Ovis aries: one gene and its partner. The protein of the gene in region 2 purifies or fractionates together with the protein of the main gene of each other region. This does not show direct contact. Links are inferred from orthologs where the notes say so. Each region holds a gene or a part of one and is shown on either strand. Other genes may lie near its edges.

The links. The genes of interacting proteins can lie anywhere in the genome.
Region 1: the proteins of NUP133 (region 2) and NUP160 purify together in Homo sapiens (co-immunoprecipitation; 4 studies listed by BioGRID and IntAct, with this or other methods). This does not show direct contact. The link is inferred for Ovis aries from reciprocal best matches to the Homo sapiens genes NUP133 and NUP160.

What each region holds. Positions count from the first base shown.
Region 1 is NC_056068.1:76,491,440-76,495,832, reverse strand, and holds the start of NUP160 (nuclear pore complex protein Nup160), read left to right. Parts: upstream 1-1,563; 5' UTR 1,564-1,577; coding exon 1,578-1,677; intron 1,678-1,952; coding exon 1,953-2,064; intron 2,065-4,393. UniProt on the Homo sapiens protein: Functions as a component of the nuclear pore complex (NPC). Involved in poly(A)+ RNA transport.
Region 2 is NC_056078.1:1,013,897-1,017,499, forward strand, and holds part of NUP133 (nuclear pore complex protein Nup133), read right to left. Parts: intron 3,494-3,603; coding exon 3,359-3,493; intron 2,753-3,358; coding exon 2,582-2,752; intron 885-2,581; coding exon 729-884; intron 454-728; coding exon 383-453; intron 1-382. UniProt on the Homo sapiens protein: Involved in poly(A)+ RNA transport. Involved in nephrogenesis.

The sequences.
Region 1 (4,393 bases), on a different chromosome or scaffold from region 2:
GGAAGGCTTTCTTATCTCTCCTTGCTATTCTTTGGAACTCTGCATTCAGAGGCTTATATCTTTCCTTTTTTCCTTTGCTTTTCGTTTCTCTTCTTTCCACAGGTATTCGTAAGGCATCCTCAGACAGCCATTTTGCTTTTTTGCATTTCTTTTCCATGGGGATGGTCTTGAGTCCCGTCTTCTGTACAATGTCACGAACCTCTGTCCATAGTTCATCAGGCACTCTATCAGATCTAGTCCCTTAAATCTATTTCTCATTTCCACTGTATAATCATAAGGGATTTGATTTAGGTCATACCTGAGTGGTCTAGTGGTTTTCTCCACTTTCTTCAATTTAAGTCTGAATTTGGCAATAAGGAGTTCATGATCTGAGCCACAGTCAGCTCCCGGTCTTGTTTTTGCTGACTGTATAGAGGTTCTCCATCTTTGGCTGCAAAGAATATAATCAATCTGATTTCGGTATTGACCATCTGGTGATGTCCATGTGTAGAGTCTTGTCTTGTGTTATTGGAAGAGGGTGTTTGCTATGACCAGTGCATTCTCTTAGCAAAACTCTATTAGCCTTTGCCCTGCTTCATTCCATACTCCAAGGCCAAATTTGCCTGTTACTCCAGGTGTTTCTTGACTTCCTACTTTTGCATTCCAGTCCCCTATAATAAAAAGGACATCTTTTGCAGGTGTTAGTTCTAAAAGGTCTTGTAGGTCTTCATAGAACCATTCAACTTCAGCTTCTTCAGCGTTACTGGTTGGGGCATAGGCTTGGATTACTGTGATATTGAATGGTTTGCCTTGGAAACGAACAGAGATCATTCTGTCGTTTTTGAGATTGCATCCAAGTACTGCATTTCGGACTCTTTCGTTGACCATGATGGCTATTCCATTTCTTCTAACGGATTCCTGCCCATAGTAGTAGATATAATGGTCATCTGAGTTAAATTCACCCATTCCAGATGGGTGAATACCAGAATACATTACAGTTCATTATACAAAAATACTCGTATACAGTCTCTCGGAAAAATTCCAACACAAAAGGACACTCTGCCCTTCACTGCCCCCGCCCCCATCACCCACCATCCCATCCCCAAGGCTCGCTTAAGGGTGGGTGAATAAAAGGAGACAGAGCGGAGATGCACTGACAGATACCACGACTCAGGGAGAGATGACCGCAAGCTCGAAACCCAGTAGAGGGCGCCCGTCTGCCGGGCCTCCCGGGACCTCGCCCCTCCCGGCAGGCTGAGACCTGCGTCCCGCGCGGCGTTTTTAAAATGGAAACAAACCCGGCCACGCCCCCTGCCCCGAGGCCGCCGGGAAATATGGCGCCGCCGCTTGGGGCGTCCTAGCCGGCCACGCAAAGGTTTCCTCAGGTGGAGTCCGCAGGCTTCCCCTAGCCCTTTCTCCCTCGGCTCCCTCCCTGCGCACCTGATCTCCAGCTAACTCGATGGACACCTCAACGCAGGATCCGGCCGCCCCCGACCTCTCCGGACTTCTCCACCTGCCCGCCTGCCCCGCCCTCCGGAAGTGACGACACTCGCCCGGCCCTGCTGGTGTCCCGTCGGGCCTCGCGGCGGCGCGGGAAGATGGCGGCGGCGGGAGCCGTGGAACGGAGCTTCGTGGAGCTCGTCGGCGCTGAGCGCGAAAGGCCCAGGCACTTTCGGGAGTTCACCGTCTGCGGCATTGGTACGGCAGCATCCCAGCAGAGCGCGATCCGAACCTTCCCCTCGGGCCTCCCCTGTGGATTTCTCCATCCCAACCCCCGCCCCCCCGTTACCCTTCTGAGCCCACATGCCTGTTAGCACAGGAATCAGAGCTACCTTAGTGTCCTGCTGCCTCCTCTTCCCTCCCCTTTCATTCTGTATGGACTGTCAGTCCGTCCTCCTCTGCTTTCTCAGCGACCTCGGTCCGTGTCATGCCCAGAGAACCACGTGTGCAGGCTGACCACTCACCTTTTACAGGAACTGCAAATGCAGCGGCCGGAGCCGTGAAATGCAGTGAGAGCGCGGGAGGCTTCTACTATGTGGAAAGTGGCAAGTTGTTCTCCGTCACCAGAAACAGATTCATTCATTGGTGAGTGCTGTGTTTGGCAAGCCCTCTGGAAGGTCGGGTCGTTCGGCGGCTGAATTTTCCTGTCTGGCCCTGAGATGTCATTCATTTTCCGAGTGGTTGTAGACAGGAAAAGAAAAAAAGACTGCTTTCTATTTCTGTCTTAATCAGTGGAGAATTAAGGACACCCAGAGTTCTGGAAGAGTTACCCTATCAGGCAACACTAAAAGCAGAAGAAATGTAGCATAGGGGCTAAAGCCCCAAAGACCAGTTTTTAAACATGAGCCCGTTATGTATTTGTAGTGCTTTACATTCATCCTATGTGTTTGAGCCTTTACTTGTCAGGCACTGCTAGGTGTCCTGGGGACAAAATGACTAACAAAAACAATCACCGTTTTCATCATGCAAGGTGTGGCAGTGTAAGAGACGTGGACCTACCTTTCATGGGGCAGTTTTGAGAAGAAAAAAGGCATCAAGCTAATGTTCATGCATAGGTATATCAATACAGATTTTTCATTCTTGCCTCAGAGGAGAAGAATAGGGTTTTGAGAGGCTAATGGGAAGACCAAGTGTTATTGGTGGGGCTGGAGAGGCCTAAAGTAAGTCACATTTAACCTGAGATTGGAAGGGTGAAAGGTTAGCCAAGCAAGGTGTTGTGGGAGAGAGCATTTGAGCAAGTGGGATCACTGTCTCCAAAATCCATGAGGTGAAAAGAATTTGACAGGTTTGAGGAACTGACTAAAGATCTATGCGGCTTAACTGCAAATGGCAAAATGGAAAAGGACGTGAGCGATGCTGAGACTAGTAGCTAGGGTGGACTCATCATGAAGGACCTCAGGCTGTGCTTGGTCTCTGCTCTGGTGCATGGGCTTCTCATTACGGCAGCTTCTCGTTGCAGAGCACAGGCTCTAGAGCGTGGCCTTAGCTACTGCATAGCATATGGAGTCTTCCTAGGCCAGGGATCGAGCTGATGTCCCGAGACTTGGCAAGCAGATTCTTAACCACTAGACTACCAGGGAAGCCCCAAGATATGTGAATTTTATCCTGAGTATGTTGAGCAGTCACTGAAAGTCTATAAGCATGATCAAAATCACATTTTAAAATAATCATTCTGCTTTGTGTAAAATAGATTTGGGATGGATGGGTAAAATACAAAAGAACAGTTTGCTTTTATGATGGACCAAGTAAGACATTGAAAGGTTGTTAAATCACACAAAGATGCTGGGATTCTTGGCCCCCGGAGGAGAAGAATTCAATCCAGGGCCAGAGACGAGGTTTGATCGCTCAGAGCTTTTGTGTAATAAAGTTTTATTATAGTATAAAGGAGATAGAGAATGCTTCTGACATAGGCATCAGAAGGGTTCAGAAAGAGTACCCCCCTGTTAGTCTTCAGCTGAATGTTATATAACCCACTCCAGTACTCTTGCCTGGAAAATCCCATGGACGGAGGAGCCTGGTGGGCTGCAGTCCATGGGGTCGCTAGGAGTCGGACACGACTGAACGACTTCACTTTCACTTTTCACTTTCATGCATTGGAGAAGGAAATGGCAACCCACTCCAGTGTTCTTGCCTGGAGAATCCCAGGACGGGGGAGCCTGGTGAGCTGCCGTCTATGGGGTCACACAGAGTTGGACACGACTGAAGCGACTTAGCAGCAGCAGCAGCATTCTGTTAATGAAAGAAAGGAATGTCTTGAAACTCAGAATGGCACCAGGCCCCTCACCCATAAGATGCATTTTGGGATAATCTTGGCACCAAATGGTTCATCCTGGGCCATAAAATGATTAACTTGAATCTTGAAGAAGGGCAGATCACCATACAAATAGTTTCATTTACATAGATTAGAGGAACAGTATCTGAGTATAACATACTGGTTTGTCAAGGAGGTTCTGAGCCAAGAGGTGGAACCAACTTGAAGATAGAGTTTGGGGTAGATGCATAGTATGTTAACATAGCTTAAGATAAACATTTCCATAAGAAAAAGGCATTGGTTGTCTCTAGGTTTGAGAATAGTTAACTTCAGGTGAAACCAGGTGTCATTATGGCAACACAGTATTTTAAGGGAAACCTCCTTTTAAATGTGTATAGAGAAGGAAAAAATATCGATAGTTTGTTTCCTCCTGCTTCCTTCTGCCGCTTAAGAGAGATAAAAATGTCTGACACTTGCAGGCTATTTCCTCCGTTTGGAGACCGCTGGCCTTCATGCCTGTTACCCTCTCAACATGTTGGTGACTCAGCTGTGGGAGTAGCTAGAAAAACAGAGATAGATGGATTCGAGATACACTTAGAGGGTAGCTTCATTAGGACCAGGTGATAGACTGACAATGGGATAAAGGATGGTAAGGGAAAAGGA
Region 2 (3,603 bases):
GCCAAAGCTCCTTCAGCAACAAAAAAAGGACTGGAGAAGAGCCCCCAGAACCTCCACTGAGTCAGCAGAGACGACAGCATGGAACACAACCAGCAGCAGGGCAGGCAGCTCTCAGGAGCTCCAGCTATTCGAGCAGAACAGATGATCCCTAACAAGGGCAGACAGCTAATGGGACACTCAGTGGAAGGCCGAAAACTGCCAACACTTCTGAAACGAATTAGCACTGCCAGACAGAACAAAGCGATTCAATAAGGCGGAATAATATAAGATTAGGGTTAGACACATCAGAACAGACAGCAAGGGTGCTTATTATTCTATAACAAACACCAATCTGTTTTTCCAAACAACTACCTATGCTCTGCATGACAAATGAGTTGCTTACCAGTTTTGCTTCAAATCCAAATACCGAATGTTGACCCCTTCTTTAATAGCTTCATAGTTACTTTCAGATCCCTACATGAAAATATCAACAATGTAAGCTCCTTCAGTATAGAAATCATTTCTTTTCACCTTTATATCCCCAGCACCTACTAAACTGCCTCATCCACAGTAAGTCAAACTTATTGAATGAATAATGTATGCATTTAAAAAATTAAGTAAACCAGTGAGTCCCAATACTTCTAAAGATTGAATACTCTGCTTATCTGATGACTGAAATGCGTTCTACTAAAAGAACTAGCAATTTTATATAAATAAAAATGACAGAGATGAATGTTACTGTTCCTTACCCAGATAGCATCAATAATGTTTTCCTTCAGGACTCTATTTATATCCCAACTATGTGCTTGTTTTTCTGAAGAATCATCTAATTCCCATTTACTGATGTTTGAACTTGTCAGGCTATAAAAGCTCGCTCGCTCTCTATCCCAGAGGACGCTTGAAAGCTGTATGGAGAGGAGAAAAAAAGTTTATAGATTATTAAATTCTAGTGTCAGTGATGATTTTCCTGAAATTAAAAATTCATATATTTTATAGCTATTTGATTAGTAATCCTAGCAGAATTCTTCATTTAGGATTCAGGGGAAGAAGTGATCCTGAAATAGACCTTGAGAGTAAGGAGGATTTTCACAGGCAGAAGGCCCAGGAAGAGCAGAGTAGGGAGGCAGGAAAGTCAGAGGCTCTTTAAAGAACAAAACACAGTCCTGCTAAACTAGAATGTGGATTATAGCTAGGAAAGAAGCAAAACTGAAGCTCACACACAGCATAGTCTTGAATGTCAGTTTGTAAACCAAGTAAGCTAAGGAGATAATATCCATAGCTTGTGAGCACAAGAGATTTGTTACAGGAGAAGGAATCTGGAGGGGTGTGTGTAGTTCCACACGTTTATATCACTTCATCTCCCTTGCTTCTGAAGAACACATCTAACCCAACTTAAAAATTGCGTATATGTGACTGCTGAACTAAAACCCTATTTGTCTCCACTTTTCCTGTCACTATGTCTCAAATCTAGAGAAGCTGGTAAATATTCTGCCCCATAAAGAGAGGGAGACACACATACACACACAACCAGGATTTTATACCTGGGTCTCTGAAAAAGGTGACAGTGCCATTAGAAATAGGTCAAAAGAAAAATGAGTTTTGTAAGTCAATAGGAGAGAAGAGAACACGAGCAATTTTCTTCTAGACATGTTAAAGCTTACGTTCAAAGACCATTTAAGGAAGCAGATAATGACAGCAACCTGAAATCAGAGGGAAGAGCCCCACTTCATAAAGGATGTGGTACTGCAGTACTTAGCAGGGCTAATGCAAAGGGACCTGCTGCATGGCACAGGGAGCTCTGCTCAGTGTTACATGGCAGCCTGGGTGCACGGGGAGTCTGGGGGAGGATGGCTACCCGTGTATGTATGGCTGAGCCCCTTTACTGTCCACCTGAAACTGCCACAGCATTGCTACTCAGCTATACGCCTATAAAATAAAATGTTTCAGAAAAGTCGGGGGCGGGGGAAGGTGCTCTCAGTTCACACACATGTGGGCATGCATCTGTCGCTGAGCAGTTTTGAACTTTGGGCAATTTTGGTAGCCTCACTGAGGCCATTTCCCCATTTATTTAACACAAATGGGACATGAAGCTCTATATATTACGGATCACAATTATTACAGGAGATAACACACACAGGGCTCCTGGCAGAGCAGATGCCCCACTGCTCTGTTAGTGCAGTTAGTTGAAGATGTTAGTTCCCAGCATCTTCACTCACTACTCCAGAGTCTGAGCCACAGCCCAGCAGACATCATCCACACAGACAGCTGGAGGCTCGGGGGTGGAAAGCACACTTTTGGTTACGTCTAGAAAGCAAAACTAATCCTTGAACACATTTATAACTTTACATCATAGTTTTAACTCAAAAAATGAGCTTACCAGATAATCTATAAAACTTAAGAATAATTAATGTTACAGAGGATGCAAGAGGGTTAGTATGAACTCATCTAATCATCATAATAAAAATGCCTCACTGAAAGATCAAAGTTTTCATCTCACATACACCACTGTACATACAGTGGCAACGCTAACTTCATAGGAGACTGCCAACTTACTGATTTCATTAAGAAACAAGCTAGTAAAACAGTCATTTCACCAACTTACAATGAGATCACTACTAGGAGATAAGATTCCCAGAAGAGAAGAAACCTTCCGACCAATTCCTGAGAGCACGCCTTGTCCTTGAGGCAGGACATGCTGATGGATTTTTCCTATACTTTCAGGTATCAGGCGGATTAGTTGGCCCCCCGATGAGGATAAAATAAAACTTCCTCCCTGTGAACAAATGTGAAATTAGTTAAGTATTTAAGACTAAGAAAAGAAAATGAACACAAATCACTTTGATATGCTTCGAGGGAAATTATCTGTACCTCAACATAAATCTAAAGAATAAAAAAAGAACAGTGCTATTTTTAAAAAATAATTTATGAATCCATTCACTTAATACTACACAGAAAAACTTCAGAGCCATTTTTTTAATTACTTTTTTTAAATTCTGATTTTTAAGTTATAGGTTCACATTACATAGGTTCAACAAATTAAGAATCAGATTTTATTTCTTTGGTAAACCAGCAGAATATGCATTAGCAAACCAGTCTTCCTCTAAGAGTTTCTGAATCACTCTCTAAAGATGTTTCTGACAGAAACGAATACCACTGGCTACTATGCTCCACTGACAGGTCAGAGTCCCACGAGAAGGGCTTCCCTCGGCCTAAGTGCTCAAATCCTAGACTCTTACATTCTTTCCTTGCCTCCTTTTTGATCTTCTCCCAGCCCTACCTGTATGATCTGCTCGAAATCACAAATTTTTAGTCAGCCAAACCTGAATTCCAAGCCAAATGACAGTTTCCCAATAAATATAGAAGAATATCCATCGTATACCTGTACTGCTGTTAGGAAACTATAGGTCTTATCACCTCCCAGATCTACGAACGTCTCTGTGTAGGTATCTTCACTCGCAAGGCTTGGCCAATAGCGGATGGATCCTTCTCTGGTGGCAACCATGACAGTAACAGCCTGAAACAAGATCATAACACTCAGCAAACACAAGAAAAGGAGCCCAAAGCGGCGGTCTGACGACACTGACATACAGAAACCAGGGCAATGCATTACTCATGAACAGAAAT